4 linked regions of the Drosophila melanogaster genome follow. The gene in region 2 interacts genetically with the main gene of each other region. Each region holds a gene or a part of one and is shown on either strand. Other genes may lie near its edges.

Region 1 (8,399 bases), on a different chromosome or scaffold from region 2:
ATTCTCCATTATTTTAACATACTATTTTACAACATTCATATGAAATCTTTCTTACCTTTTGCTCGTCAACATTTCTTGTCAACAGTGTTTCGGCAACATTTGAGTTTGCTTGGCCACAGTGTTTCTGCAACAAAAAGAGGGGAAACTTAAAAAAAACTCACTCATTTCGTTCTGTGATACACTGTATATGAGGCTTTTGCTTTTGCATTGTTTTGATTTTTTTCAATCTAGTGTGCCGTTATAAAATCGCCACGCTGCACTTTTGTTTTGCCATTTACGCTCTTGGCGAATTTGTTGTGTGAGCATGTGAGTGTGTGTGTGTGTGTGTGTGAGCGCAACTGTACCGGCGTCTTCTTTCTTCGTCCTTTTTCTTTCGTGACGAAGCTTTTTGTTGTTTTTGCAGCTGCCGTTTTCGCCCTTTCTATTCACCTTCCAACATCTTATGTCTGTCTTCACACTTACATTCTAGGCGTATATTTGGAAGTGCACATGCAAAACGGCAAAAAAAATCGAGAGCGAAGATAAAGACGAAGAAGACAACGAAATAATTTGTAAGAAAAAAATGTGTAAATTAAAGCGGAAGAGTCGACGAATGGCATGTCGACCATATTTGTACAGAATAATTTTCATTTAAGTTGAGAGCAAATGGACTACAAAACCTGACACATATTAACTAAATGATACATACTTTATGAACCTATGTACTTATTTAACATTTAACATTAGCATTTAAAAATGGAATAAATACTTACACATACATATTCTATACTTCGACTGTGCTAGCTATTTGTGCTAAAATACTCGAGTTCTTGACCTCCTCAAATAAATTATAATTGAAGGTTTGCTTATGCGTTATCTTCTAATACGATTGGCGTCTAAATAGATGGATGGCGCCAAAAAGGGAATGACAAATAACATACAATTGTACGTACATATATACACATATACATATACACGCATGTACGGTACACCTTGCAAACGTTGAGTTTCTATGAATATTTGAATGAATATTTTTAGTATTTATGTAATGACATGAATCCATCCATACAATCAAAATACCTGTAAAACTTTCCTTATTGCGTATTATAATAAAAGTACCTACAATTCGAAATAACACTTAAAGAGAGGGTGTGATTTTTCGTCGCCTTAGATTTGAACGTATTTTTACGTTTTTGTAGTAAAATACCAATACATGGGTAACGTGAAAAAAAATAAGAAGTCGAAGATAGCGACATTGTTGCAAAAGAAAGACTAGTGCGCAATGCAATTTACGATTATTCGCCTTATCAATGGAAGGCGATCGTTTCTGGCCTACGGTGAGCATAACTGCAACTGCAAGGCCCCGGCATTATCGCAAAACAATTACGCCGGGTACACCTGTCGACGCTGGCGTCAAAGTTACATTGTTGCTGCACGTGTAGACCGTTAAATGCCGAGTCAAATGCGCCTGCGAATGGGATGAACCTCATTCTAGTACTAGTACTATCAATACACTCAATAAGGTTGTGCATACAACGTAACCTGCTAATGCTAATATGTATGTATGTACATATGTATATTTATGTACTTACATTTCACTTTCCTGAGTTGCTCCATTCTTTCTATATTTTCGATGTTTCCCATAACTGCCGGTTTATTCGATTTACTGCCAATGCATTGCATTTTTACGGCCAATTTTTTGAAAGCTTGCAAATTCTTGACAAACTAGATATGGAAACTCGGCAGCCACTTGCTGCCGTTATTTACGCAGTTGTTTTATCTCGCCATGCACACTTTCCATTTACCCGCGAAACAAAAAAAAAGTGCAGAAAATAGTTTAATACTATTACAAAAACAAGCAGCACACGCAAACATAAATTGCGCAAACATCGAAACACAAGAAATATTACTTATTGAAATCGAGAACTTGGACGGACAAAAGCTCGCAAATTGCGGGACCATTTCTTTTTGTCTGTGACGCAGTTGTACCCTGTAAAAGTGGAGCATATCGCTTTTTGCCAACGAATGGCTGTTTGTATGCTTATGGATACTAAAGCGGAATGTTGGAAGGTGAATTTTATTGGGCTGTTTGTGATTTCCATTGACAGAAGAATTAAACAATTTTTTTTTTTTTTTAATATGTCGCTTGTACAAACAATTAATTAAATGTGCAAATTGCAGAGTAGTTGGGCGAGTGTGCAGCGTGCATTTTTTTTTTGCTGGTTCGCCTCGTTGCGAAATCAAAACAAAGCGTGTGAAAGAGAGGGCAGATGCACGCGCCAAAAGCGCTATGTTGTGCACTAAAAGTTGTGGAAATGAAAATCAAAGCGAAACGTAACAAAATCGACGGGGTGTAGAAAGCGGGAGGAACTTTGCGTCGGAACCACCTGATGATTTAATACTCTCTAAAAGGGGCAAAATTCAAAATGCAGGTCCTTTCAAGTCGATTTTTAAAGGTTGATATATGTGTACATATGTACATATTTGTGCGATAAACATATGTACACATGCACAAATCATTATTTGTATGTAGTACACATACTATGTACATTGTATTTTACAAACAGTTATTAAGAAGTTTGTTGGAATGTGCATACATACATATGTATGTATGTATGTAGAGACGTATGCTTGTGCATGTTATATTCTATTTTTCATTCAAGGTCCCCTTGCTTCCTATCCGCCTTTACCTTATTACCCTTTTCTACTTCTTCCACAACTTCTTCTTTCCAAAGTTGTAATATTTTTGGCTGGTTTCTATTCTTTTCCCTTTCTTTTTACATTTCCTTGGCATCGTTTAATTCGTTAACAAAATGTTTGGCTCTTCTTTTGTTTCTACCATGCGGCCTAACTTTTCTATTATTGTTAAATGAATTCTGCATTGTTTACAAAGTTCACAAGTTCAATCAACTTGACAAAACGGAAAATGAAGTTGCGTGGCAGACAAAGAGGTGACAAAGGCACACACGCACATAAAAAAAAGTACGGTAAATGCATGCATAGATAAAGGAAAGGGCAAGAAGGAAATACGAAAGAAATGTAAGGCGCCAAAGCAAGAGGGAATGAACAACTTCTCGCAACTTCTACGCAAAAAGGAATAGAGCTTAAAATAAATCGATTTAAAAATAGGAAACATTTATGCGGCAATGAAGAATCCCAAATAATGCCACAGAAAAGCAATTGAAACCTGTAGTTTTATGTCGATTAACATTAACATAAATAAATGCGTATATTTATAAATTTAATTTCTATATTTTAATATACATACCGTAAGTAAATTAAGGAAATGAATAAAATTTTGTTTTGATTTCCAGTCAACTACACATTTTCGTATTGCATTTATTTCACAAAAACATTTTGAGCCAGTTCAAGTTAATTGTTTATGTTTTTATTTACGGAGCAATTTGCGATTTGTCTCAATTTTGTTTGCGCTCAATTATTGTAAACACCACTCAAAAATCTCACTCTCTTTCACTCAAAAAAAAAATACCGGCAAACTGATGCTGTTATGTGAACCAGTGTGCGGGAGAGGCAAAGAAACATTGATCATTTTAAATGCATTGCGTACTATTTGAAAACCTTCGAGTATTAACAAATCGTGATGAATCCAAATGTGATCTAAATGTGATCCAAATGTCAAAGAAGATTTTTGTTGAAGCTCCTATTCTCACCACTTAAAGCGAATTCCAGCAAAGAGAGCAGCAGTGAGCATGCGCAGTGAGAGCGCAGAGAGCGCGGCAGTCTGGTACGATAGAAATTTTATTTAAGCCACAGACAACATGAAACGGGCACTATTTCTGTGGCGTCGCGTGTTCAGTTCACCGCGGGTAATTCAGAGAATCGCTTTGTGGATTGGATTTTTGCCTGTTTTCCGCCCGATACAAAAAAAAAAAACCAAACGCTATATAAATAGTTCTGTAGTAAAACCTGAAGCAACACGTTTTAAAATATACAACTACTACTAACAACTGTCACAGCCAAGTTACAAAAGTGCTAAATCCCAGAAATAACCTAAGAGCCGACTTAAAACCGCGCAAATACATAAAAAAAAATCTTCTCCAAAGCAGAAACAAAAACTTGTGAAAAACTAGAATTAAAAAAAGATTTTTTAAAAAAAATCAGCTAGTGCAAAATAAACGGGAAGAATTTTTTTTTGTGTCCCTTTTTTTGGTGTTTTTTCTCCGTCTTTCCCCTTCTTTGACGCAAAAAAAAAAGTGCCCAACTTGCTGGCGGCACGGGAACGGGATAGAAATAGATATAGCCGAAAGCGACTGGAAAGCAAAGGAAGCTAACTAAATTGGATTACAATCAATTAAATAGAGACGGATACGGAAACTATGTTCAGCGAGGTGAGTGCAAAGATATATATATATAATATATATTATTTATCGGAACGCAACGACTTCAAAAATCGCGCCACTACGGGGAATTCAAAATAGAATTTCTGGGAAAGGTGAAATAGCTTAACTTTTAACGGTGCTCTCACACACAATGACAAATCAGTGATCATGGCCGCACAAATCGATACGAAATAACGGATTCTAGGAACTCAGAAGGAATGTTAAGAATCAAGTGCTTACAAGAAATTAAGAACAAAAAGTGAGACAATAGAAAAGTGGAAGTGGACGAATTTTGCAAAACAAAATTCTACAAAGTTCTTTATTGTTTTGTGAAATTCTTCTTAATGCTGGCAAGTATTAAAAACGCTTTGATGGCGTTGAAACGAGTTGGTAATGTTCGAAAATTCCAGAACTCTGGGGCTCCAAAGTAATTAAATAAAATGGTCCCAAAATTTTTACGAAAGTATTAAACTTTTTAAAGGAGAAATAAATCAATTAATTAAAAAAAGAAATAAATTAGCTTGATAAATTAAAAAAGAAATAAATTAGCTTGATAAATTAAAAAAGAAATAAATTAGCTTAATAAATTTAAAAAGATTTAAATAATAATTTAATAAATGTTGATATTCCAATTTTACTATGATTCTGAAATTCAATATATACCGGGTTGCGTTCGATTCTGCGAAAGACATGTACTGTTAGTTTTTGCTCGTACTTGTTTACCGGAATGCAACGGATTCTACGAAAAGGGAAAAGCACAGTAAGCTTTGCAGGTCTGCGTTTATCGGTAAAAGGACCGTTTATTTTTCAGTAACTGGAATTGGGTATTTGATATTTGGTTTTCCTTTTATGCCCTTGTTTATTTCATTAGTATATGTATTTTTTTTTTTTTTTTGCTATTGTCAAGAGCGCCAAGATTGACGATTTCGGGTTCAAATGGTTAATAGTGTATAAATGAAGCTATAAGCTAAATTTGCTTTTGATAACATTTGCTGAACCCTCGACATCGCCTGACGTCATTATAGGTGAAATCTGGCACAGTAGAACGTGACTTAATACAATAATAATATTAGGAGTTTAGTTACTCTTACATTATAGTTGAAATGTTGCAAAAATCCTTATGTTGAAGAAGTTTTCAAAAAGTGTGTTGCCGACATATTTATTTAATTAAGTTCAAATATAGAATCATACCTACAACGATTTCCGCCTTATCTATATTTTTCAGACAGGCATATAACTCAGGAACTTAAGATATATAGAAAGAAAAAAAAACCCAGACAACATAATCGCAATGGCCCTTTACCGCTCTGATCCGTATTCCATAATGGACGACCAACTTTTTTCAAATATTTCAATATTCGATATGGATAATGATCTGTACGATATGGACAAACTCCTTTCGTCGTCCACCATTCAGAGTGATCTCGAGAAGATCGAGGACATGGAAAGTGTATTTCAAGACTATGACTTAGAGGAGGATATGAAGCCAGAGATCCGCAACATCGACTGCATGTGGCCGGCGATGTCCAGCTGTTTGACCAGCGGTAACGGTAATGGAATAGAGAGCGGAAACAGTGCAGCCTCGTCGTACAGCGAAACCGGTGCCGTATCCCTGGCGATGGTTTCCGGCTCTACGAATCTCTACAGCGCGTATCAACGATCGCAGACGACAGATAACACCCAGTCAAATCAACAGCATGTCGTCAACAGTGCCGAGAACATGCCGGTGATCATCAAGAAGGAGCTCGCAGATCTGGACTACACGGTCTGTCAGAAGCGCCTCCGTTTGAGCGGCGGTGACAAGAAGTCACAGATCCAGGACGAGGTCCATTTAATACCGCCCGGCGGAAGTTTGCTCCGCAAGCGGAACAACCAGGACATTATCCGCAAATCGGGCGAATTGAGCGGCAGCGATAGCATAAAATACCAGAGACCAGACACACCTCACAGTCTTACCGACGAGGTGGCCGCCTCAGAGTTTAGACATAACGTCGACTTGCGTGCCTGCGTGATGGGCAGCAATAATATCTCGCTGACCGGCAATGATAGCGATGTCAACTACATTAAGCAAATCAGCAGGGAGCTTCAGAATACCGGCAAGGATCCGTTGCCGGTGCGTTACATCCCGCCGATCAACGATGTCCTCGATGTGCTCAACCAGCATTCCAATTCGACGGGTGGCCAACAGCAGTTGAACCAACAGCAACTGGACGAGCAACAACAGGCCATCGATATAGCCACTGGACGCAACACAGTGGATTCTCCGCCGACGACCGGCTCTGATAGTGACTCCGATGACGGTGAACCCCTCAACTTTGACCTGCGCCATCATCGCACTAGCAAAAGCGGCAGCAATGCCAGCATCACCACCAACAACAACAACAGCAACAACAAAAACAACAAATTGAAGAACAACAGCAACGGCATGCTGCACATGATGCACATCACCGATCACAGCTACACGCGCTGCAACGATATGGTGGACGATGGTCCCAATTTGGAGACCCCCTCAGATTCCGGTGAGTCAAATTTATATACTTTTCATATGCCCCATTTTCATCAATATTGGAAGCTTAAAGTCCGAATGTCTTACAAGAAATACAAAATGGTCTGGTCGTTGGATGCATGGCAAAACAGTAGAGATTAGTTAGATCCCTGGGGATGCATTAAAATTTAGTTTACGCCTGAGTCAGTCTAAAACGCCTACCAAAAGTGGCATACTAATTACAACGTCGTGGGGCGGCCGATTAGTTTACAACCGGCCACATGACCCCCCGCCCGCCCGCACATTCATCCATCCTTTGGGTGTTGCACATTCAACTAGTGTTCGCACTTCCGTTTCGTGTGGGTGCAGAGTAACGCCCAAACGCACAAGTACGCTGTATACCATAGGCAACCGGAAAATCGATTGGCGGAAAACGCCTACGTCAACAGCAAACGTAGTAAACTTGTTACGTTGCACAAAAAAAAAAAAACAATAAAAAAGAGAAGAAAAAACCCGCCCACGCGACGCCGGCGTCTGTCTGCGGTGGTTTTCCATTTCCCCCATTGATTTTTGTGCTTTTCGCTGCGATGTGCTTGTATGCTCAATGCTCTGAGCTCTTGCTCTGGACTTTCCTTTATGATTTTTCCCACTTGCCACCCACAATGGGGAAAATGTTGGCGCGGCGCGTGGCTTTCATGGCTCATTGTGTTTATTTGCTCCATGGCGTCATCCTCTCTCTTCCGAAAAACTTATCACCCGGGGGATGATGATGATGTTCTTGCGCAGAACTACGCCCAGAATAAAAAGAACCCATATATATATATATACTACATATATAATATATATATTTACATATATATATGTACTACAATTTCTCTCTTTTGGGCCAACACCCCAATTTACTTGGCTTTTCCTTTCCGGGCTGTTGTTGTGCGAATTTCAAGGATGTCTGGTCACTGGCCACGTGGCAGACAGCCCCAAAATTTTCCTACCTCCTTGGCGGCATTTTCTCTAACAACTCGTGTATGCGCCGAAAATACGGGATATTTGCCCGTGACTAGAAACAAGAATAAATCTTGCCCATCAAAAAAAGATTTATTATGCCATTAATAATGCAGAAAAAAAAGTAAAATATTGTACTTCTCAATAATTTAAGAGGGAAACTACATTAAAAAAAAGTCCAGCTAGAATACGTGTTTTTCATATCTATATTTTTATAGTACTCCTACCTACTTGTTTTATTTGTGCCGGCGAGTTCAATGTCTGGCTCTCTTTCTCTCTTTTTGGCGCGCAAATCGTTATCCATTGAGCAACCCTCGCAAGCTTACGTCACGTCAATCATCTTGATTTTTACTACGTCTTACGCTACAACTACAACTGCGCATGCAACTACGTGTGCATTTTCTACTACAATGACTACTACAACTACAACTACTACTACTACTACGCTATGGAGCCGGTGTGGGCGTAAGCTTTTTGCCGCCGCTCATTAAAAAAAATATATGGTAAATAATAGCGGGAAATCAAGAAGGGGCTAGAGGTGGGGCAATGCAAGGGATAAATTAAACTTGGATTATAAAATATTTACCAATAAA
Region 2 (8,257 bases):
ACGTTCGTTCTTAAGAATTCAAAGTTAAAAAGTTTACAGTACAAAACTCAAGGTTTATGCGTCAGCTTTAAAACAAAAATCTGAACATGAAAGAGAGCTAGCGTTGAAAAGCCGATATGAGCTATGATTTACTGTTTTATATTTTCATATATATTTTGTTTATTTTAAACGGATAACATACCATGTTGTCAAAAAACTGTTGTATACTGAACTAGAACGTTTTATGATCCAAAAAACGAAGCTAGTATTTCATTTCCATTAATTCGACTGATATTTTCCGATTGTTTCACGTACAGCTGTACAATACAGTAGATCTTATCTTACAGTAGAGCTTATATATAGCACCTATATTATATAGTGATCTGATCTGGGCAGCTCCGATATCAGGCATTAAATTAAGATATTAGTTTGACTTCTTCAATGGTATTTTGGTTACCTTTTGACTTATCTTCCATTTGAGACGAGGTATACATGTTACTTCCGGAAAGATGTTGATGACCATGTTGATTTTGATTTGTATTAATAGTAGTGCTCAGGCTATCACCAGTGCGGGTGTTTTGTAAATTGTGCAAAGTCGGTGAAACGTCCTGTTGCTGATGATGAGTGAGGTGATGTTGTTGCAGATGTTGGGAATCGTGCTCTAGCTGGCCTGTACTTGTATTAAGGGTTTCTTCTTGAGTTGAATGTAGAATGTGTGGATGTAAAATACGATGTTGGAGCTCATGTGTTCCGAGCCCATGGATATGATGTGTCGATGTCTGTATATCCATTATAAGCATCAAAGATTCAACAAAATGTATAAGTTCCTGGAATACAGAAAATTGTGGGTTCTTTTATTATGAAAGCAACGAGATATTAGCGTAGCCAAAGCAGTTGACCTATGCAGTTATGCAAGGAATGGATATGTCTGCACAAAACAATTGTTGGTTAGTTCATCAAATTCTTCTGCTTAAAGTGTAATTAACAACAAATGTTATGTATTTTATTCGGCAATGACATTCAAACTGTTTTAAAGGCAAGCAGGAAATGCTATAGTCGAATGGCTCGACTATCAGATATTTCACTTATCGTCGCGGTTTGTGGGTGATAGAGTGGGCGTAGTCAAAATGTTTGGTAACACAACTAGTAAAATGACAAAAAATAATTTTCTTTTTTTAATGTGTCATAACGCTTCTGAAAGTTTATAGGCGTTGGGTGGCGGACGCCTTCATTATCTAAAATAATCTTGCCGTATGACTACAACTAGAATCTGTAGATCGACTCGTCTAGACAGTTATGAATATATATTTTATAAGATCGAAAACACTTCTGCTTTTCAACGAATCAACACGTAATGGCTTTAATAAATGAACTAAATCAACCGAGCTATATATAAAGAAAGTTTTAAAGTGATACATTCAAATAAGAGCATTTTATGATGGAAAACGCGAAACTATGAACTAAATTAATGTATTTTTATATAAATGGTATATCCCGATTTGGCATATTTATGAATAACTAGAAATTTTAAAGTTGATTTCCTCGACTATCAAAAACTCGTTACTCAGCTAGTGTGAGTGCTGGGAAAAAAATCATACAGCGAAGGTGGCTCTAAAATTTGCTTGTTAATCTTAATCGTTTCTTTCTATTAGAGTTACCTAGATCACTGCGTTCAGACCATGGCCAGATTGTTGATCCTGATCAAGAATGTATGTATTTCATACGGTAGGAAACGATCCGTTCTGCCTGTTACATACTTTTCAACTAATTTTACTCTACGAGTAACAGACCAAATTATGATATTTTTATACCCGTTACTCGTAGAGTGAAAGGGTATACAAGATTTTGTGAAAAGTGTGTAACAGACAGAAGGAAGCGTCTCCGACTATATATAGTGTATATATTCTTGATCAGGATCAATAGCCGAGCCGATCTGGCCTTGCCAGTCTGTCCCTATGAACGTCGAGATCTCAGGAACTATAAAAGCTAGAAGGTTGAGATTCAGCATACAGATTCTAGAGACATACCCCCCTGTTGCCACGCCCACAAACAAAATTGCCTCGATTACATTTTTGAAGAATTTTTGGATATTTTTTCATAATTTTATTAATTTTATTATAACAAAGAGCTTAGACTTATAAGCATTTTTTTAATTTTTAGTAATTTTATTCCACAATATTTATCGCTTAGCCAAAATTTATGAAATTTTCTCTTTGGCATTTCCACTAGCTGCGTAACGGGTATCTAATAGTCGGCCAACTTGACTATAGCAATCTTTCTTGTGATTCGTACCTTTCAATGGCACACATATATTTCACTATTTCACTATCCGCTCTTGTTATCCAGGGCAAGGTGCACTTTCTTCCCGCCGAATGAAGCCTTAACCCGCGCAAACGTGGTTGCTAGCACTTATTCACCTGTTGTTAATTGACCTTTTTGGGACTGACACTCCCCTAAGGGTCAATATAGCTAAATGATCGAGTCAGCTACGTGTATGGGTATGGGAATAAATGTGTTCGTTTAGGCCATCTGCTTTCTTTCTACATTTATTGTTTCCTAAATAGCCTAAAATGAAAGAGCGCTAAAGTCGAGTTCCCCGACTATCAGATACCTATTAATCAGCTAGTAGCAGCAATGTTTAATAACATTGGAGCCATTTTTTTATGAGAACATTTTGGGGTTCGTCGATAAAAATTAGAATGACAAAAAAATAAAATCAATAAAAAATCAAAATACATATAGTGCCTGCGTGGCACAGGTATGAAACAAGCTTGCACCGCTTTTATAATTCACGAGGAAAATTAATTTAAAAAACAAGAGAGAATCCTACAGTCGACTTCCGCGACTATCAGATACCCGTTACTCAGCTAACGCATTTCTTATTTTTTTAATGATAAAAATGAGAAAAAATTTAAAATTTGGTCAAAAATGTGGTCGTAGCAGTCTTGGGCGGCTTGTAGGCGTAACAGCGGGCGTTGCAAAAAGAAAATGTAGATATAAATTTACAAAAACTAAAGAAAATATGAAAAAATATCATTTTGCAAATATGTGGGCGTGGCAGTTCTAAACGGTTTGTACGCGTAAGAGTGGGCATGGCAAATCGATAGAAATTTAGGAAACAAATATGAACAAATTTCAAAATATATTTCAATGGCGTGGCAGTTTTGGGCGTAACAGTTGGCGTGGCAATACCTTGTGCTGCGTGTATGTCTCTAGAATCTGTATGCTTAATCTCAACCTTCTAGCTTTTGTAGTTCCTGAGATCTCGACGTTCATACGGACGGACAGACTGTCAGACGGACACACGGACATACGGACAAGGTCAGATCGATTCGGCTATTGATTCTGATCAAGAATATATATACTTTATATGGTCGGAAACACTTCCATCTACCTTTCAACTTTTCAACGAATCTGGTGTACCCTTTTACTCTATTAGTAACAGGTAGTAGTTAGTTAGTACAAGTTTAGTAGTACAAGTTTTGTAGTTTTGTTGTTGTGTTCGAATTCGAATAAAGGGCTCGAATTCGATATACACATTTTCTTGTTGATAATAATAATAATAAATAAAAAATTAATTAATTTTAAATTTTTTTTATAAATTAATTTTAAATGAATTTGGAAGTATATAGTTAAAAGTCACGGTCGGGCACAGCGGTCCTGTTACGAGGTCATTGGAGCTTCTACAATTTGTTATTTTCATTACCAACTGGTATTCAGGCAGAATAAAACCCATACTTCATTCAATTCAACAAAATTAAAAGTGGGAAAAATAATTGTATTTTCACACACTCCAGCCGAATAATAGCTATGGGGAGCCAGAATTTTTAGTTAAGACAGTCGAGGAAAACAAAGAAAACAAGTATTCCAAGGTCAGGAGCGTGGGTAAATATAAGCTGTTCAAATTCGGAGTATATTTAAAGCCGAGCTCAAGCGCCTTAAGTGTTTAATGTTATATAACTTGGATGATTAAGGAATTATTTTTACCTTAATATATTTAAAACTATGCATTAGTTTACTCACTGAATATTTTCGTTTTATAAAGATTGGTTAACATATAATTGTTTTAAAGAATTTCAATAAATTATTAGTTATTTAGCGTCACTCAGTTAAGGTAGTGAAAACGTTCAAATACGAATTTATACACTAACAACATCACTGAGTCAAGGAATCTAAGCCTTGAAAGGTAAAAAAGACAGCGCGAACCACCTGTTGGCTAAAAATCCACGAAGCAACACGATTTCCAGGTGGATCTTGAAGCGTACGCCAAGAGATCTCGAGCGAAACTAAATTGTTGAATGGCAATGGACGACGGAAGCAGTTTACATCGCTCAAACTCAGCCGACCACTTTTTTGAGTGTGTTTATGATGGCTTATATGTTTGAGTCGCTCTCAAAACTTGGCCCAAGGCGGCTTTACGGTTGGTCGGCTACATTCGCACTCAACTGGCGGTCGACTAATCGGGAGACATAGCGTGTTGTTCGGATGCAAAAGCTGGGTTTGAAATACGATCGCCGCTTCAAACAGAACGAGTGATAGAGAAAAGGAAAGAGAACAAATTAGTTAAAGTCACTGAATGAGAAGGGATGAGATGGTATTCTTGTTTTCCCCTGTTTGGTCTTAATGATCAGAGTGTTGGAGTGCTTATACCCGTTACTCGTATAGGAAATGGGTATTCTAAATTCGTTGTAAGGAAGAAGAAAGCGCTTCGAAGCGTTTGGTATATCCCTGATTATGATCGTTCTTTTTTATATCTGTCAAACCTCAATCTCATAACCCTACAGTCCTGACTGCTTAAAGTTTCCTAAGGTCCAGCTGACCCATATTTGTCTAATTGTTTTCCACTAAAGGCCTATATTTATTGGTTCCGGTTTAATATTCCTATTATTAGATACATATAAAGGTGTTATCTTTTGGCATTTAACAACAGGCTCTCGAAAAGTGAACGCAAGACTATGTATTAAATTTGAAGTAACTACATTTTGTTGAACGGAAGCTAAGTCAGTTTATATACATAAGTAATCAACCCCCTTTTAACCGTCTGGATCGCGTATTGTTACATTGAGTGACCTGCATTCTACAGGTTGACAAGCGAACAAATATTTATACATACATATTTGAAAATGTGTAATATACGTTTGTAAATAAATCGTTTAATATACATAGGTGTACTAGGAGTACAGTCGGCACTACCTTATGATATACACATACATATATTGTTTCTATGCTTCCATGCATACAAAAATAATCCACATTTTCGTCAGAGTAGTGAAACCAAGAAAAAGTTAAATTGGCATCCCTGAACGACGATCTAAAGCAGGCTGCTGGTACTCAAACTATTAAAGAGAAGACGGCGCGTGCCAAGCAATCTTCGACTACCGTTGCAAACTACACGAAAGGGAGAAGAGAGATTACTCAACCGTTTCAAAATTTAGAGCTGACTGGTGTTACTATCGTATAAAAAAAACAAATACAAATACAAAGTTTTTTTTCATTTATGAAATCTATTAGTTTATAAACATACTTAGTCAATATTACTAGCCACTTGTCCTCTTTAAAGGGGACTGAAAAGACATCAGAATAAGATTTAACTTTTATCATTTATGTCAAAATATTGTTAAATATATTGAAAAATCAAAGAGTGACGTTGCCGTGCGTCTTTGTCTCTGGAAGCAACAAGCGGACAGGGTCAGATCGACTCGGCTATTGATCCTGATCAAGATATATATACTTTACATGGTCGAAAACGCTTTCTTCTAACTGTTACATACTTATCAACGAATCTATCTTTTATTCTACGAGTAACGGGTATAATAATATGTTACAGAATTATGTAGTGTACACAACAGAATATTCAGGTGTTCATTTACCGTCATCCCTTGAATTCTTTTGCGATCGAAGGAAATGTCTTGGACGGTTGCCCGCGCTTTATTTGTGAAACACCTGTTAGACCGAACCGGAAAAAACCTACCCTTCGATCGCGCCTCTGTTAATTTTCCTTTCTGCTTATATATACTCCTTACGTGGTTAATTCGTGCATTAGTACCAAAACTGGTGTTAAGTCACTAGCAAAAGTTCAATGATCTTAAATATTATTATTATGTTATTATATATGTATGTATTTATATGAAGAATTCTGACCAATATAAGCTCTAAAAAAATATTCGAAAATTTTTTTTAGTAGCTTTTCATTTAGAAGGCTTTTCTTTGGTTATTCCGCATGCTAAACGGTGGGTAACTATTTGTGTTCATATGTGTGTATGTGTGTATATGTAAGTATATAAATATTTTTGTAGAATTCGCCTGGTAGCTTTTGATATAAACAATCGGTATTCATATGTTTTGGTATGAAATTCGGTATTTCAATCGTGGCTCGTGGCTTTTCACGGTCTGCAAGCCAACCGAGACAGCTTTTCCGCCGTTTCTTTTGGTTGTTTTTGGCTGCTAGGTACTGGAAATGCTACTGCTGTATATATTATGTTATGTACTATTTATTTATACTACTTACTTTGTTGGTATACTCTTTCCCGGAATAATACATATAGTTATTTCCGGAGATTTTCGGGAGCCGAAAGTTAATACATACAGACAGAAGGGGCTTTAACAAGTCGATAGCACATAAAACCAGAATAACATGATATCGGCAAACTAAGGTTTATATACTCTTCCAATTAAAACAATGTCTTGGATAAAGTTTTTTAACCCGTGCCACTAACGTAGACGACCGATACATGCCAGTCAGTCCCCTTGTCCGTCGGTCCATCTTTATAAAAGTCAAAACCTATAAAACTATAGATATCAAAAAATTGAAGTTATCCGTCCAGATTCTAGTAACTCCTACGAGGCTTTTGCTTGTATCAAAACGTAAATTATTTATTTGTTATGTCTATGTACATGTATGTATATGATGAAAACAACCAACAACAAAATATTCGTATTCTATTTCTAGTTTGATGCAATCGTTTCGAAGGAAGTAAAAAGTAAATGTAGCCAATAATTGTAGGTATTCCGGTGAAGTTACGTATACATCCTCTTTGTTCTTTCTGTTAAATATTCTTCAGAGAGTACGGTTTACCCTTTTTTTGTTAACAAGTAAAGGATAAAGAAATATTATCTGCTGGGCTTTTCCTTATATCGATTTGCATAACTAAAATCAGCAAAATAATAGAATACTTACTCGAATTTCACATTTGGAAAGTATGTAACAACCAGAAGGAAGCGTTTCCAACCATATAAAGTGTGATCAGGATCAATAGCCGAATCGATCTGGCCTTGTCCGTATGTCCGTGTATCCGTGTGTCCGTCCGACCGTCTGTCCGACCGTCTGTTCGACCGTCCGTCTTTCCGAATGAACTCGAAATCTCATGTACTGTACGTAAACGTAAAAGCTTGAGATCAGCATACAGATTCAAGCGACATAGACGCAGCGCAAGTTTGTTGACAGATGTTGACACGACCACTCTAACGCCCACAAAGCGCACAAAACTGGCACGCCCACATTTTTGAACAATTTGTGGATAGTTTTTCATAATTTCATCTAACGCCCACAAACTGCACAAAACTGCCACGTCCACACTTTTGAAAAATGTTTTTATATTTTCTCATACATACTTTTTCATACAAGACTAATAATCTTGTAAATTTCTATCGATCTGCAAAAAACATTTTTGCCACGACCACTCAAAGCGCTAAAATCGACCAAAACTGCTACTCCCACGTTTATGAAAATGTATTGGATATTTTTCATAATTTTATTAGTCTTGTAAATTTCTATCGATTTGCCAAAAAACGCCCAATATAAAGCCCGCAAACCACGAATAACAGGTATAACAATTTTTTCCCATTTTATTTCCCCCTAATATCGATATCCCAGAAAAATGATGAAATTTTGCGTTCGCATTCGTACTAGCAAATGAATATAATATTAATATTTATATCTTGATTTGAATCTAACTGAATTGGACGTAAAGTTTTACAGATAAATCTGTTAATGTTTAGGCGCACATAGATCGACACAAGATCGACTGCTAATTTGGAATTTTGGGTAAACGATTCCATCTACGCTTAACAACATTTTTATTTATTAGTTACGATTACGATTTAAAAATGATTTAGGTTATTGAAATTCATCCATTTGAATCTGCCGACTTTTTAATCGTGAAAGGAAGCATATATCGATAGCATCGATATTCTTTCTAATTTGAATGGCAACAGATATTTCTGGTGCAAATATGGCAACGCTGAAATATTGTTATTTTCAAGAAAGCTTTTGAAAAGC
Region 3 (8,588 bases), on a different chromosome or scaffold from region 2:
GCCGGCGGCAGAGGAGTTTCCGCTCCCACCACGCGACGAATGCAGCTGAAATATAGAAAGGTAGGGATTAGAACAGCTTTTAATTGCTGATGTCAAAGGGAAACCTACTCCAACAACATGGCCACTGTTTGATCGGTCATCTTCGGCTGCTGCGATCGATGTTCGCTGAGGATCTCCGCAGCCCGTTCCGGATGGGTCTCCAAGATCTTCACGATCGCCTGCTGCATGGCAATCCGCACCTGCTCCTCCTTGTCCATCAGCCCATCGAAGATGTTGTGGAGAACGCCTGCAAAAGGGCAACAAATGTTTTAAATTTGATTTCTTAAATCAGATCATATGGAATATAATCCAAAATTTAGTTGGCTTGTGTTAAGTCAAAGCTAAGATATCGTTTAAAACAAATGACTAATTTCAGCTAGAGCTAGCAAATAGCAGAACAATGGACTACACTCAGTAACACGAGTAACTAGATCAAAGTCAAGTTAACACTACATAGAGCCGTATTTACATAAGGTGCACAAACTGCAAAGATAGCAGAAGTGGCAAAAACCACATTGATTCACGGATTTAAATGGATGATAGGTTGATTTCGAATTAAATTATATGAGCCATTTTACAACATTGAAAAATGCATACCCCTATTTCATTGAACACAACTGTGGGCACTTTCAGTACTTATATTCTGATAAGAATTCAAATTGTCTGACGCATTCGCATAAATTAAAGAGCTTCACATCATATAAGCATCTATCAATAAAATGAAAAAGGCTAGAAAATGGCAAAAACCAAACGAAATGCTGGAATCAGCTGATTGGGATGGTCAAAAATACACGTCATCCCAGAGATACAAAAGTCCAATTGGACTGGACAAGCGATACTCTAGAGGACTTTTCGCATTGCAATGTTATTTTTGTTCTTATTCCAACAATTAGCTGTAAAACAAAAAAAAACACACACTTACGCATGCAGATGATTAATCAAATCGAATTGAGTGCAATTTGTGGGTGTAATTGTGAAATGTTGTTGTATTGATTTGTCTTGCTCATAAACGTGTTCTAGATGATTTTTTAGGGCTTCACACACTCAACAGGTCCCCATAATACACACGTACATAGATACGAAAATAGAGTTATTTAGCTGCTCTCCTTTCGCTAAAAGGATTCCCCGTTACTTTTGGGCGCTCATGTGTGCGTTGTGCCTAATGCGTAGTTCTATTTTTAGAACAGGACAAAAGACTGCGCTTCGCCTAATCACAAATCCCAATTGGAGTGGGTGGGGTGGACGGGCAAAACGCCCATTTCACGCTAAATCGCTCTCAGCACTTGTGCTTGTGTGTGTGTGCGCTTTCTAATAAAAGATTCCATGGGTCCATCTTTATCTTTATCTTTATCTATGGGATTAGGCAGTGTTCCCTTTGTTTTCATTTTCATTTGCATTTTCGTTTGCTTACCTTCCAGAATCGTTGGCTTATCATTGGGCGCCGCTGTGGCGGTAGATGCATCGGCATTTCCAGTGGCGGCGCTATTTCCAGCAGCTGATTTGTTGTTGGCGGATCCTCCCCCTGTGGCAGCACCACTACCACCGCCGCCAACCCCTCGGCCGTCCATCTTCTTGGTGGAATTGCGCGTTCTCTTCCACTTCTCCAGCTTAACGGGATTTCAGACAGCGATTAACTTTAACGCGCACTTCGCGATCGCGGAAAAACTCGGAAAAACAAGAGATTCACTGCGTTGCGAAATTGTTTGTGTTTAAAACGGGTGGCTGCACTCACATAGGGGAAAAACGGCTGTGGAAATTTTAGTACGTTTTTTATCAACACCATGGACTAGTTGGGCTTCCGAACATGGTGTGTGCCCTCACTGTTCAGTGGTGGCGCAAACCATAGATGACCATAAAAATGAAATTCAAATGTACTGTGTATAAAATAATAGTTATGCATACAGTCTCGTTTTATTATACGGAATTAGCAATTAAGTAAATTTTAAATTTTAAGCTACACAGGCAGTACAGCATACTAATACAATATTAAAGGAAAAAACGCTTTTGAGGTAGTTTTGAAAGTATTTGAGAGCAATTGAAATGCTTAATTTTAATCACTTGATAGCACTTCTGAAATTAAATAGCATAGACATTTGATTTTCTCGCAATTTCTGCCCTCGCAGATAAGCTGACGTTCTTCTCACGCTATTATATTCCCAGCGATAAGAACTATTTCCCTTCGATGTGATAAGTCGGAGGTAAATTTAAAATAAACACTTTTTAAAATCATAAGAACTCTGCGTTGTTATTTTAATTCGATATCAGTATTTCGACCACAAACCAAGGCTGAACCACAAAATATGGCCCAATGATAGTCTCTTATCACGCCTTTCCTTCGCTAAAAAGAACACATGTCATTTGGAATCCTTGTTTTCTTTGCGCTAGCAACAACACACAGTTTTTAATTAACACTTTTTGCGATAATAGCAGATTTGATAAGCATGTTAAGTATCAGTTTTAAAGTAGATTCTCTGATTTTCATCTCTAATATCCAAAATGTATCTATATGAATACAATTTTCCATAAGTGCGTTTTAAATACATGTATGTTAAATTTTAAATAAAATAATAAAAAAAAAAACACAACTTATTTATTTTCTCATGAAAATCTAATCATATCCAGCTCCTAAATATTTTCGAAATTTCCCGGCTGAACAAGAGCGCCGCTCTTAAGTCGTCACGCTCTCAGCTGATTAAAGAGAGCGCGCTTAAATGCGATTCCAATTGGAAGTGGTTGCAGCCGGTGGTGGATGAAAATGTGTCCACCAATGGCGCGCCTCAAATGCCATGTCCACCTGACCAATCAGAATCCGGGGGCGGTGCCAAGTGCAAGGGAAACGCAGGAGCGAGCGAGAGGGAGAGCAACTGTTTATTTGATTAAGCATTTAAATTCTATTATTTTTAGCGAAATTTATTAAAAATTTGATGCAACAGCACTGCGTGGAATGGTGACTTGTCACAATGCACATACTAGGCCATGCATTTACAGAAGAGCAAGAGAGAGAGAGAGAGAGAGAGAGCGAGCAACTTAAGAGACCCAAAACGCCCCGGCCAAAGAGAGTCGTTCTCGTTCCAATTGGCTCGCGAGGCAAGTGGAAAAACGATTGGATTCGACTCAGAGCCGAGCTCAATCGTCTCGCGAAATTCAAGCGGCGCAGTCAAAAGTTAAAAGTCAGTTTCAGTTATGTTTTGGAGTACGACGCGCGAGCATTATTGTTTCCATTGTTAGCGAAGTTTTTAATCGACTGAAAGAAACACAAGAAAATAACACCTCGCTTACGTGTTAACCCTTTTTTTTTGTAACTTGTGCTTAAGTCACTTAAAGAAATACCGAAGAAAGTAAACTAAGTGTGTGTGTAAGTGTTAAACAAAGTAGTAAACAAAAAGCGCGCCAAAATCGGCTAACTTTTAGTTATTAACTCGAATTTCGTCACCAACTAAATTTAAACAAAAGAGCGACACAGTTTCGCCAGAAACTTGCATTCAAACATATTGTTAAACAGTTTTACATTAAACTAAACACAAACCAAAGTGCTATTAAGTGCAGTTAGTAACAAAATAAAAGTGATAAATGGTGACACAAACGAATTAAGGCAATGTTTTTATGACAAAAACTTAAGTTCATATTTTTTAAGGCTTTATTTTGCGACTGTGAAATAATTTGTTTACTTTGTTGCTTGTTCTCAAACAAATAATATACAATAGTAATTGTAAAAGCTTCTTATACATTGTTTGAATAAACAAATAACTGACTCTTTTACAACCATTTATGATTACTTGGGAGATCAGTTGTGAACATTAAATGTTTATATTGTACTATATTGTTTTTACACCGATTCCCAGAAATATCATCAAAGTTAAACTCGAGAAAAGGAGGCCCGTCTGCGAATCGGGAGTCAAACATAGAGTATTACTAATTAGCCGAGTGAAGTGCAAACAATAAAAATATCCAAATCAAACGAAATCAAATTTAATTAAGTTCAGAAATCATCTGGCAAAAGCATGCTCAAAAAAGAGAAAGAAAAAACAACAATAGCAACAAATGCACCGCTAATTCCTGTGACTAATTTATCAAAGTGCGAACTAGCAAAATGTCGATCGTCGTAGTACTCGCAGTTATTTAATATGTATTCAGAAAGGCAAACATATTTTTAATCATTTTTTAAATTTATATATATTGTTTTTTGCAATTATTTCTTTATTTAAACGTACGCCAGTGAACTGTTTCTATATGTACTTTAATTAAATTGCTTAATATGAAACAAATTTGAGATGTTGTCATGGATTGTTTTTAATGAATCGATCGGCATTTTAAGTTTTCAATTAAACACGAATCTTTCTCATATCGTAAGTGCAATTGCAAACAATTGTTAAGTACGCTTTTTTTTTTCTGTGAATTCGTTTAGAGATTAGAGTTTATTGATGAGTGAACAAAAGACACCGCCGGAGCGAAGTGTGATAAGCGCTTGACCTGCGACCCGCACACACTGCAAGAAAAAAAGGGGCAAGCGAGCGGATCAAAGGTCACCGCCGTCGACGAATGCATTTGCATCTCCTGGCGGCAGAGAAGACGCCTCCATCTCCATCTCCAAATCCAACTCCAACTCCATCAGCATCTCCATCTGGGCATACGGGCGCTGCTGGGGAGTCGCAATTGGACTTGGCATCGCAAACGGAATCGCAATTGCAGCTGGGCTTGCCATTGGCTTCCGGATACGGACTCGGACTCGGATTGGGACTGGGCTTGGGATTGGGACTGGGCCAGGAATTGGTGGCGGACCACAGCACCACTGTGGCGCCCGTCAGCGTTGCCGGTCCCGGCCGCCTGGGTCGCAGCATCAACGGCAGCGGCGGCAGCCACCACCATCACCACCTGCACCACCACTACTCACCGTACCACCACGCCCACCCCTACCACCCACCGCATCCGCACGCGCCCCACCACCACCACCACCACCACCCACCGTATCCGTATCCGCCGGCAGGACCACATCCGCCGGCCATGGTCACATCGTCATCCACATCGCCGACGGGCAACGGCTGGAGCAGCTCCACCGGCGACTTCAAGGGCATCACAGCGGTGGCGACGGCCACTGGCGGCGGCGTAGGTGGTGCCACCCAGGGCGCCACTGCATCCACGGGCGCCACAGCCGCTGAGGTTTTGGCCGTTTCGAGTAGTGCCAGTGTTGGCAGCAGCTCGCCCACAGGTGGCGCCAGCAATGGTACAGCCCATAGTGGGCATAGTGGACACACCGGCGGTCACAGCAGTAGTACCGCCAGCAACAACAACAACAACGGTGCCAGCAATAGCAATAGCAACAATAACAACGCCGTTCACCAGGATCTATTGTGGATGGAGCGATTGGTACAGAAGCGACAACAGGAACATCCCGGCGAATTGGGTGAGTTGTTGGTGGGATATTACCAATAACCTAGTAGTAACACAGTCTGCAAAAGGGTTAAGGATTAATAGCTACCTTAATGTCCTTCAAAATCAAAGTGAATATGAAGATATAGTCTAACTGGATTTGTAATTTCCCGTGAACAAAATTGATTGAACAGAGGGATTTAGCTTACTAACTGTAAATAGCAAATTCTTTGCTACCAGATTCCCAATATGATCTATGGTTCTTGATATAATATATCTTATGAATATAAGATTGATAGATAGATATATATATCAAGGCAAGCCTCTGCGGAGACAGCTCTTCCATTCACAAGGTATCAGCATCTTTAGCTCGTGTCGAGGGGATCTGGTGGATGCTTTGCAGGTCTGTTCGATAATCCGATCCCCGAAAGGTGGAGCGCACATTCTTGCCACATCCTTGCACAATGCACTTCTGGGGCTTCCACATCGTGGCAATCACGATCATCGGACGCAGCCTTATCGGATTCCATGGGTATGATGATCGTGATGATGATACCGATGGCGATGATGATGGTGATGCCAGTGAAGATGGGACTGGCATCGCCGTCGGAATATGCGTAAATTGATATCAATAATTGTTATTGATATCAACGCACGAGTCGTTCCCCTTTTTTATTTTGTTAATGCCACCTTTTTTTTTTTTTTCTTATTCCTTGCTGCCCGTTGAACTTTCCTCCCGATTTATCAATGATATCAATGACCCAGAGCGAAAGCTGCTAATGAAATCTCAGCTCATCGCACCGTCAGTCTTGAAATTAGCTGGGGAATCCGCAAACTGGTTATCCTATATGATTTTTTTTTTCACTTCTGAGTCCTTTCATAACTTGTGCTCAATGGATAGCCTTCATATCGAATTGCAACTATCAGGACTTTACACTCTTGTCTTAAAGTAATATTTATATTCCATTCCATTTGAGTTAGTATCGTACCTATGGGATTCAATCAGGATCTGGATGTGCCTAGTCTATTACAATTTATTATTACACAGTTTGGTTTTCAGGGCAGCGCACATTTGATTCCTGACACCTATGTAAAACATGATTTCCAAACCTACAGCGGTGTGACAAATTAAATTTAATGATTATCAGCAATTAGATGTCCATATTTCGGTCTATTTTGCGCGCCAGTCGCGAGTAAATAAATCATTTATTCAGCCAGCCCAGCTCTCCACACTTTGCTCTACTTTCGACACCAGGTCAACAGTCAAACGTCATCTGATAACCGATAACCCCTTCCGGTCCGGTCCGTTCGTTCCGTTCCGTTTGACATCTCCCCGCTCATTAATTAATTATGCACCGCCGGATGGCGAGTCGATGGTCGAAGGACCCAGTATCCAGCATCCTGCATCCAGTGTTCAGTATCCACGATGATTGATATTTATGGACCGACACGAAACTATAAATAATTGAATATTTTTGATGGCCGTGAAAATGTGATTTTAATCAGCGAACCCTTGGCTAATTAAAACCAAACTGATTTATCCTGATTTTTTTTTTTTTTTACCCACTTTCTTCATTTTCCAGTGCGCACGAGCAATCCGTACTTCCTGTGCTCCGCCCTGCCCGCCCATTGGCGCTCCAACAAGACGCTGCCGATGGCCTTCAAGGTCGTCGCTCTGGCGGAAGTGGGCGATGGCACCTATGTCACCATCCGGGCGGGAAACGATGAGAATTGCTGCGCGGAGCTGCGCAACTTCACCACCCAGATGAAGAACGACGTGGCCAAGTTCAATGATCTGCGTTTCGTGGGACGCAGCGGAAGAGGTGAGTTGCAGTGCTGTCCGAACGGTCACTTGGGAATTATAAGCTAAAATGGAGAGAAGAAGTGCAAACGGTAGGCGGTGTGAAAAAGAAAGGAGTTGGTAAACTAACTATCTTCTGTGAATCAGGATCAGATCAGGATAATATATAGTAATTTCTAATAACTGATGAAAATGATCTATATATAACTTATATACTTTATAGCACTTTATATCACCTTTGTGTTTTGGTTGACTATATAACATTTCTGAAAATTAAAGACTTCCTCGAGCACTGCAATCAGCACTTCCTTTGCCAAATGCCGATTATTGCGAGCCCAAAGAATGCTTCCCACAACTTCAAACGAGCGGAAGCTGTAGGTTTATCCTTTCAAACTTTCTTCAAATTACACTGAATGAAAATGATGCGTAATACGTTCAATTATGTATGCATAATTAACTTAATATGGCTTTAATTTCTAAAGACTTTTTTTTATTGAGAGTTACTTCTGTAACGCACACTTCATCATCAAGTATATGATGATAAAACTCTAACAAAATTTGTAACTTGAAGTATGAATTCATAACTTGCTATGTAACTTGCATGTAATATTTGGTTGGCAAATGCATTTTCTTTTTGTGCACCCGAAAATAGGTAATGAATGCATCGGAAGTGCATTGATTGAGTGACAAGCCAGAAGTTCTGGAGTGACTAATGCCGCCTGCGAAAAGGATCAATGGTACAGCAGTCGTCACATTAGGCAGCAAGTTGGCGCTGTCCTCGGGGCAACATGCCACATACAACATGCAATGTGCAACACAGCGTTGTTCCCAGCAGATCCCCGAACATCTCCATGTCGGACATGGTACATTGTACACGGGATATGGGATATGGTATATATGGGATATGGAAATGCGCTGGACAGGATCGGCTGGGCAGGCAGGCTGATCACGCAATGTTCCGAGCCTTTTTGGTTCTGGTAATCGATTTGAACCCACAATTAATGTGCATATGTATTGTGTTGCATAGAATTGGCAGCAGCAGTTGGCAGTTGGTTAATTAGCTGCAACTGTTGCCGCCGCTTTTGACCCTAAGTCAACCTCTGGCCAGGCGCACCACTTCCTCCTCCTCATCCTTCTCATCGTTGCAAACTGAAGGCTCGTGCCGCAAAAGGGCCAAGAAATTTATACTACATACGTATGTATGTATGTGTGTATGTGCATGTATAAAAAAATAAAAAAAAAAATAATTACAGCCATGGCAAAGGGCATGCAAATAACAAGCTAATGATGTAAGAACATAAACGCTGACCAAATTGTCAACGGCAGGCAGCAGCAACAGTTCACTTCACTTAATGGCCACGCCCCCTCGCGACCCCAAACC
Region 4 (8,609 bases), on a different chromosome or scaffold from region 2:
AACTAGCACTTACCAAATGCAGAACGGTGTTGACCACCTCCCGGTTGGTCACCTGGCCAACCTCGATGAGGCCAATGAGGACGGCGAACTTGAGATTGTCGGCGGTTGTCATTCTGACGATTTCGTCCGGCCGTTTGATCTCACTGTACGGCGGACGCATGATGTCCGCCATTTTGGTGCACGGTTTGTGGTTCAGATTGTTGTGTTTGTTGCACGATGTGTGTGAATTGTAAATTATTTGTTCATTTGTTTTACGCGTTGCACATGCGATTTGGTTTGATTGTTTGTTTGGGTTTTGGTTTGTTTTTTTTTAATTTGTTTTTTTTTTTTTTTTTTTATATAGATTAAGTTATAGAATTAATGGATGGAATGCACACGAAAATACACACACAGATACACAAATATATAATACATTTACATATATATAATAAATATATATGAAGATGGTAATGCTATATATATATATATATATTTATATAAACAATTAGATATTGCCAGGCAATTGGAGGGGAGGAAAAAATTATTATTTTTTTTCTTTTGGCTGGATTTCTTTTTGCTATTTTGATTTTCTCTTTTCATTCATATGTGCATCATTTGTGTTGCTGCACTCTTCCGATTTTCATTCGCTGTTGCAGTTGCAGTTGCAGTCGCTGTTGTTGTTGTTGCTGTTGCTGTTGTTGTTGTGGGGCAGCTGAATTGCCGTCGTGGTCGCTGCTACTTTTTTGGCTCATATTGAGCAACTTCGGCCGTCGACACTTGACAAATTTTGCATTATTTTTTATATAATAATACTCGGTTATTTATTTGGAATTGCACACTTTTTTGTTTTTTTTTGGTCATACATTATTTTGATTGAGGTTTTGGTGATTTTTGGTGTGGTTGGTGGTTGTGGTGGTGGTGGTGGTGGTGGTGACATACATAAAAAAAAGAGAGAGAAAGAGAAACAGGTACATGAGTACGAAATGCAATAACGCTGGCAATTTTGCGAGCACAGTGCGTTTCATACGCTTAGGTCGTCATAGTCGATGCAATGCTTTCTATTTACATTATCACTACGATTAATTTAAATTTTCAGGCACACGAAACGCACTGTACTTTTGGTTTTGACTTATCAACATTAAAATGAGTAGGTACGTAAAAAACTAAATTAAATTCCCATTTTACATATACATATGTAGCCCAGCTACAAAGCAATATTCGAAATATTCGTTTGATCTGCCATGGGTGATGTTTTTGGTTTCTCGGTTAGCAGGTTTTGCAGGCTAGTGGTTTTCCCGGGGCGTGGAAAGCGAGCGCCCATTTTCCGGGGTGAGGAAGGGGAAAAAGGGGGGGGGGCGTTTGGCTACACGTGCTTGATGGAGCAAATTTTCGTTCCATTATTCATTCGCTTCTTGGCTGCTCACAGAGTAAAGTGGAAAATTGTCTGGGGAATTTATGTGCATTTATAATTTTCGTTTTATTTGTTACTGTTTTTTTTTCGTTTTTTTTTTTTTTTTTTTTTTTTTTTTGACTTGCATTAACTACCGGCACGATCCAGAATCAGATTTATGTAATACCACGTCGCAGAGTGCTATATAGTTAGTGCTATTATATATTGGAAAAATCTTGCTCGATCATCGATTTCATTAGCTCGGCTATAAAAGATATATGCGCATATGTATGTACTACATATAGGGAACCTATAGTTTTCGCGGCTCGTCACGCACTGGCGATAAGACTGGGGTTATTAACCCGCCGGGTTACTCAAAGTGCTGGAAAAGCCTGGGAAAAGCGGCGAGGTAGCCAAGTTCTAAACTGCTCGGCAAACACCATTGAGCGGGGATAGTTAAAAAAAAAAAAAAAAAAGTAAAGAAAATAGCATACGTACATACATATATAAGCTGACACACCTGAAGAACAAGGTGTGCTTCTGATTCAGCTGGCGATGGATGGGCCCATAAAAGCAACACAGCTGTGTGTTAAAAGAAAACTCTTTGAGCGGCGGAAAGGGAGGGGGGGGGGGGGCGAGCGGTATTATCGGAAAAGTGCCCAACAAGGCGGGTACATTCAATTAGGCACCATTCTGTTTGCAATCCATTTCGAGATAGGTGAAAATCGGTGGACTGACTTTTGGGAATAACCCTCTAAATGCATATGTATGCATTTTAAAATACCGGAAATGGCTGCCAATATTACGTAATACTTATGGTAAGGAGGTGGGGGGTTGGAAAATTGGTAGCAAGTTGGGAGTTTTAAGGGGGGCTTACAACAAATGCAGTTGCACATTCTTTCACTACGGGAATAAGCTCTTTTTTACAATATGCATTTAATGCATTTAAGCAGTACTTAAGTGAAGAAATAATTCGTAACGAAACGAAACGAAACAACGTAAACAGGCAAAGAAGAAAAACCGGCGTGGCAAAAAAACGGGCAAAGCAACGTTGACTGGTTTTCTTGATATTAACTTTTGTTTTCTTTCAAAATCTAGCCGCTGGTTTGTAGTTCGTTCTTTTTTCTTTACTTTATTACTTTGCTGCTGTTTAGCTAGAGCAGGTGATTTTATTTTGTATTTCTTAATTTTTGTTTTTTTTTTTTTAATTTAATATGAAGTTCTGACTGCGGATTTGTTAATGCGGCCACTTTGCTAATTGCACGTCAACAGAAAAAAAATTCCAATAGCGAGAGCGAGTCTCCATGCGTTTTATTTGCTTTGCTTTTTGGCTTTGAGCTGCTACCACTTTTTGTAGTTGTTTTTTTTTTTTTTTATGGCGAGAGCCAGCGTGTGAGAGAGAGAGAGATATGGAGAGGGAGAGAGAAAAAGTTGGTAATTTCGTTACGAAATAAAGATGCAATGCCAGTTGGAAATGAAAGTCACGCGTTCAATCGATCAAAAAGATCCATGGAACCGCCAACTGAACTTCCTGCCACTGCGTTGGTAAACGAATGTGTCTTAAATTGTTTTAAGTGTATATTCATCCGGACATTACTCGGATTGTTTCAATAGGATTTTCAACAATCTTAAGTTTTTACGTTTAAATTACATTAGATATGTTTTAAGCCATATCCTTCATCGATTTGATGCATAAAATGTGTATAATTATTTTACCAAATAGCATTTTAAACTTTTAATTGCAGTAATCAAATAAAATGTATTTGAAGAAAACGCGAAATATGTTTAAAATCATTCTTTTAAAACCATTCGAAAACGTAGGGTCTTTCAATTTCGGCCTAAACTACAACTAAATTCCCGTCGTTTTGCCCACGTTCTCTCTTTGTTGTTTTTGTTGTGTATTGTCGTTGTTTTTTTTACCCAACTTTTTGTTGGTGGCCGAAAGAGAGACAAAATTTGGTTTTGGTGGTGGTTTTTTTACGTGGATGGGGGCGGAGAGGTGGTGGCGGACGGGTAGCGGTAACCCGTTTTTGGGTTTTTGTATTTGTATTTGGCTTTGTTTTTATTGCAATTGCAGCAGGCGGCCGTCTAATTATGAATTGCAGTCACGCCGAGACAAGTTTTTCCTTTTCCTTTGTTTTCCTGGCTTTCCATGCTCGCTCTCGCTCTCGCTCTCTCTCTCTCTGTTCCTCTCGCTCTCCCACTCAACGCAACGCTATTCTCACCTTTTCAGTGGGAAAAATCAATGAAACGCGAAGGAAATTCTCTCTCGCTACGTTGCGGCTTTTTCTGCTTCTTGCCACTGCTGCGTATTTTTTTTTTTTATCTTATTATTTTGCACCGCTTTGTTGGATTTTGTCATATTCCAATAAGCAAACACACAGCGACACCGAAATGCTAATTGGACCAACTAACTAAACAGTGGAGCCGAACGAAATTGAACCCGAAACCCAGGAGGCGTAAATGTTGAGAACTTAGGGACCGAAAATAAAGGCATATTCAAAAAATCACACAAAAACACACAACAACAACAAAAAAAAATGATCTTAACGTAACGTAATTGGGAGAGCGTAAAACTTGATATTTACGTTGTTTTCTTCGAGTGTTTACTGTTGTTGTTTATGTTTGGCCGTTGTTGCTGTTGCTTCTGTTACCATTATTGTTGTTGTCTTCGCACATACACAGTAAAAAAAAGTGGCAAAAAAACAAATGAGTAAAATAAGACGCGGCGGGAGGCAATAACGAATTGATTCATAAATTCAAAAGCGCAACGTTCACGTAACAACAATATACAACCATTTCTCTCTTTTTTTTAATTTTATTTTATTTGAATTTAATTTAATTTTGGTCGCCGTGTTGTCCGCAAAAATGATTTAATTGAATTATTTCACGTATTTCACCTCCGCATTTTATGGATTCTTATTTTCGTATAATTCACGATTCTGGTCAGCGTTGTGTGCCTTTTGATTCGGTTTTCTCGCTTCAGTCCTCTGTTTTTCGGCTTCTCGCCTTATCCGCTCCTCTTACTGTTCTTTCCGCGCGCGCTGCGAAAAACAGAGTGAATTGGAATTGAATTGAACGAATGAGCTCCGATAGCGATAGCTGCGATATGGATTAATCGATATGCCGCCATTTACAAAAATCTATTGTGCTTTCGCGAAGTGTTCACGTGCAAATAAAAGTAGTACAATTATCTATTTCCTACTGTTCGCAAGAAACGTATTTTTTGATGGAATAGAGCTAATACTTTTTATTGAGCATTTCCACATACGATAACTTTGAATGTCAATCGGTCGGAAACGGTTAAAGTTTAAGCTACAATTTATATATAGGAATATGTACTTATAAAATCGAGATTATTGATAAATGTGTTAAAAAATTGTTTGTCTTGGCATGTCTAAAATGTGAAAATTACAAGAGAAACTGGCTTTTTTTTTAAATCGAGAATAACCGAAACCGATAACGATTTTTATTTCGGAGCGACAAATTTGCTCTCTCAGTTAAGAACAGCTGATAGAAGGGAAATTTTGGTTTCCTATTGCCGGGCGCGTGTATTACAGTTTTTCGAAATTTTACAACTGTTCGAAAAGTGATGTGAATGTGAAAAAATAAGCTAGTGAACAAGAGAATACTGTTTTGAATGGTTCTTTGTCGATTCTAAATGAATGTAAAATGATATTATTTCATCGCATGACAGAACCAAGCATTGTAAAATTCATATAACATCAGCTACAATGCGAATTACTTTTACATTTTTGCCAACGTCAATTGTCAAGTTATTTAATTGTTCGAATAGACTGATTCAGGTTAATTGAAAAACGGCTATAAAACGGCGGCATTTCGTGTTTCTGTGTATAAAAAACCGGTAAAAATTCAAAAACCCAGTTTCAGTGTGCCCAGACATCAAGTAAGTATTTTAGTATTTTCAGTTTTAGTTTTAGGTTTTAAATATTTGGCAATTGCACCTCCTTTCGATGTATCGATGTACCTACAAAGTATCGATAGTGACTGTTGCCAGTATCGCTTTAGTTATTCCATCTCTAAGCATCAGGCTTTGGTCACATTACCAACCTTTCATAAAAAATAAAAAACAAAACAAAAAGGCGATAAAACGCAATTAAAGCAACTGTAAAAAACATAACAAACTAAAACCACTGATAAACTAAACCAACTGCATTGCACACACCCCGCAAACAAACGAAAATGTGATGTTAAGTGTGAGTAAAAACCGATGGAAAAGCGAAAGGAGTGTGCGTGTCGAGCATGTGCGAGTGTGTGTGTGTGCGTGCGCGTGAAGTGCGAATAATGTGTGATGGAGAGAGGGCAAGAGAGCGGCGCCAGCTAAAAAATATAAACAATTAAATAAATATGTAAATTTATATATATGGATGTATGGCATGGAAGTAGTTATCCACTAGTTACGAAAAGAGAAAAACAAAAGAACTAGTTCTCTTTTCTTTGAGTGTGCGTGTGTGGTTGTGTGGGGGAGAGGATTCCAGCTGCCTTTGTGTGTGAATTTCATTTAGTTTTTTTTTATCTGCTATTATTTTGTTGTGCGGATATTTTTTAACCCTTGTTAGCCCTTTATTTTGCTGATGTTTGCGTTAGTGTGTGTGTGTGTGCTTTCAACCCCCAAAAACTTCACCACCCGTCGCCGCCCGGCGAAAAATCACTGAGCAATAAAACCACCCACTACCCACCAAATGAAAAGACCAAAAAAAAAACGAAGCGAATTATTTCCCACTGAAAATTTTTTTCTTCCAAGGTGATGATGTTTTCTTCCTCTTGCTCCTCATCTTTCCAGGAGCAGCACTCGAAAAAAGGGAGAAGCAAGATGGAGAAGGAGAGTGAGTGAGTGAGAGAGAGCACAATTCAGAAACTGTCGAAATAAAACGGCTTCTCCACCTCTCACGCCTTTTGTCGCCCCCCGCTGCGGGCCCCATCGCACAGTGGGACGCGCAGACTAGGTGTTCTAACAAATTTCGAATTTTCACGCTCCAGTGAACTCATAGGCACTAAATTAATGTTTTAAATGTAATATTAATGAGTTTGTTGTTTTATTATCACCTATTTCGCTCCACTGTGCAACGTATGACGCGCTAGCGTCCCCTCTTTCGCTCTCGCGCAATTCGACCATTTTCCATCCTTCTCGCTCACGCCGACTGCCTTTTGGCGTATTTCTTTTGTGCCTATGTATTTCCGCTTGTTAGGTCAGCTCTCCCCCTGCTCCCCCGCCCAACAACGTCCTCTTTTTGTGCTCCCTTTTTGGGCTCCAAGTTCTGGCAGTCCTTTTAGGAACAGTTGTGGCCGAGAGAATAGGGAATTCGTTAAGACGGCCTTCTTTTGAAAGTAGATGCTCGCTTGTAGTATGATCTTAAAATGCGTGTACTAAGCCCCTATTAAATTAATAATAATAATTAAATGTTGTTTTTCATTTCTTATTTAAAAATAATCTGTTTAAGGAAAAATTAATAGATGTTGAGTAAGATGTACCTGATAATACTATTTCATTGACCCCTGCTGTATATTTTGGTTTTGTGTTGTGAGTGAGAACGAAGTTGTGTGGGTGTTTAAAAAGGGTAAGAAAGGCAAAAAAAAAGGCGAAACGGAGTAGGACAAGAACCAAAAAGAAAAACGAAATAAAAGTAACGTTGTTTTGTGTGCGGGCCAACCGAAAACCAATTAACTTTTTGAATATTGCACGAAATTGCGCGCCATCGCCCGTTCGTTTACCAACACTGACCGCCGAATGCAACCCTGCGCAACACTAACTCACACACACGAGCGTAGTAAGACCCAGGGAGGCAAAAATTCACACACAAGCAAATATTTTTTTGTTATTATTGAACAGTGTGGAAGAACAGCGCGAAAGGGAAAAACGAGCTTGCGGATGTGAAAAGTAAAGCGGGTGTGTGGAAAACGGCAACAACAAAAGGCGAACGGGGGAAAGCCAAAGAAAAACTACTCGCGGGGGAGCAAAAATCGGCTGGGAAACACGGACGAAGAAGAAGAAGAATAGGAATCAGAGTAGGAGAGCAAGCAGCAGCAGAAGAAGAAGAAGCAGCGCAGCCGCTAATTGTCTCGTCGTTCGTTGTTGTTGCTGCCTTGCAAAAAAAAAAACGAAACCGAAAAAGAAATGGCAAAAAAATAACGCAAACAAATTCAATAAAACGAACTAAACAATTAGCAAGTTAATAAACGCAACATAAAACCAAAGGAACGAACAGCAGTGGCAAAAGAAAAAGGCAAAAGAAGAACAATCGAAAAGGTCAAAAAGTGTGAGCAAGGGAGAGGAGAGACTTCCCCAAAAAAAACCGAAAGAAAAATGGAGCAAAAGTGAAAAACCTGTGAATGTGTGTGTGTGTGAGAGATGGTGAGAGAGAGAGTGGGGGGAAAAGCTAAAATTAATTTTTTGTTTTTATTTCCAAGGCGCGCACTGGTGTGTGTGTGTGAGTGTGGGTGGAAAATCGGATTTCGTAAAACGCATTTAATTGTTAACAGCAGCAAAAACGTGTATAATTTACCTGATTTTTCTACATCTCACTTACAGTTAGTAATCAAATTGCACAAAATGCGAAAGAGGAGAGCAGATCAATAATAATAATAATAACAAAAAGGAAAGGAGCAAATGTAACGACTTCTGTGTGTGTGTGTGCGTGCGTGAAGCAAACAACAAAAAACAGCGCAGAAACATTTTTAACTAAAATGTGGAAAGCAAGCAAGGAAACAACAAAAGCTAAAACAACAACGACAGCCAGGAGCAGCGCAGCCAGCAGCGACGTCGACGCCAGCGTCGCCGCATGGAAAGCACAGAAAACCGCATGACAAGGAAATGGAAAATTTTTGTGCAGCCCAAAAAACCAAATGTGAACATAAAGGAAAGGCCGACAGCGAGGCGTTGAGCAAACGAAAAACAAAACAAAATACAACAAAAATACAAGAACGTGTGTGTGTGTGCGTGTGTGTGTGTTTTCCAATCGTATAATCGAAGAATAATAGTAATAATAATACGAGTCAAGGAAGAAGCGGCATTCGAAAGAGAACAGAATAAACGGAGGAAGAAACAGATGTAATAACTAAAGCAGAAGAAGAAGCCCATCAGCAAATCTATGAGAAGAAGAAGAAGGCGAAGAGGAAGCGGCAACTTGAAAAATATACAACAATTATTAATTATGGCAGCTTCGACAAACAAAATTCTGTAGAAGAGGAAACAACAGACGCCCAAAGGCAAGATTTTTAA

Evidence for each region.
Region 1: of sv (region 2) and Myc, changing one suppresses a phenotype caused by changing the other (phenotypic suppression), as found in Drosophila melanogaster (one study listed by BioGRID).
Region 3: of sv (region 2) and lz, changing one enhances a phenotype caused by changing the other (phenotypic enhancement), as found in Drosophila melanogaster (2 studies listed by BioGRID).
Region 4: of sv (region 2) and rg, changing one enhances a phenotype caused by changing the other (phenotypic enhancement), as found in Drosophila melanogaster (one study listed by BioGRID).

The regions. Positions count from the first base shown.
Region 1 is NC_004354.4:3,369,396-3,377,794, forward strand, and holds the start of Myc (Myc), read left to right. Parts: upstream 1-3,763; 5' UTR 3,764-4,328; intron 4,329-5,544; exon of another isoform or gene 5,545-5,548; 5' UTR 5,549-5,610; coding exon 5,611-6,838; intron 6,839-8,399. UniProt on the Drosophila melanogaster protein: Participates in the regulation of gene transcription. Binds DNA in a non-specific manner, yet also specifically recognizes the core sequence CAC[GA]TG. Seems to activate the transcription of growth-related genes; required for cellular proliferation and growth.
Region 2 is NC_004353.4:1,084,808-1,093,064, reverse strand, and holds the start of sv (shaven), read right to left. Parts: upstream 4,268-8,257; 5' UTR 4,003-4,267; intron 807-4,002; 5' UTR 780-806; coding exon 437-779; intron 1-436.
Region 3 is NC_004354.4:9,281,343-9,289,930, forward strand, and holds the start of lz (lozenge), read left to right. Parts: upstream 1-3,306; 5' UTR 3,307-3,394; intron 3,395-4,444; 5' UTR 4,445-4,578; coding exon 4,579-5,440; intron 5,441-6,989; coding exon 6,990-7,229; intron 7,230-8,588. Other genes in the region: c11.1, read right to left, coding at 1-45, 109-286, 1,451-1,607. UniProt on the Drosophila melanogaster protein: Involved in prepatterning photoreceptor precursors in the developing eye; in the larval eye disk it defines a subset of cells as an equipotential group that is competent to respond to the sevenless developmental signal and another subset that confer proper photoreceptor identity by positively regulating the homeo box gene Bar.
Region 4 is NC_004354.4:5,081,550-5,090,158, reverse strand, and holds the start of rg (rugose), read right to left. Parts: upstream 4,401-8,609; 5' UTR 3,958-4,400; intron 818-3,957; 5' UTR 173-817; coding exon 14-172; intron 1-13.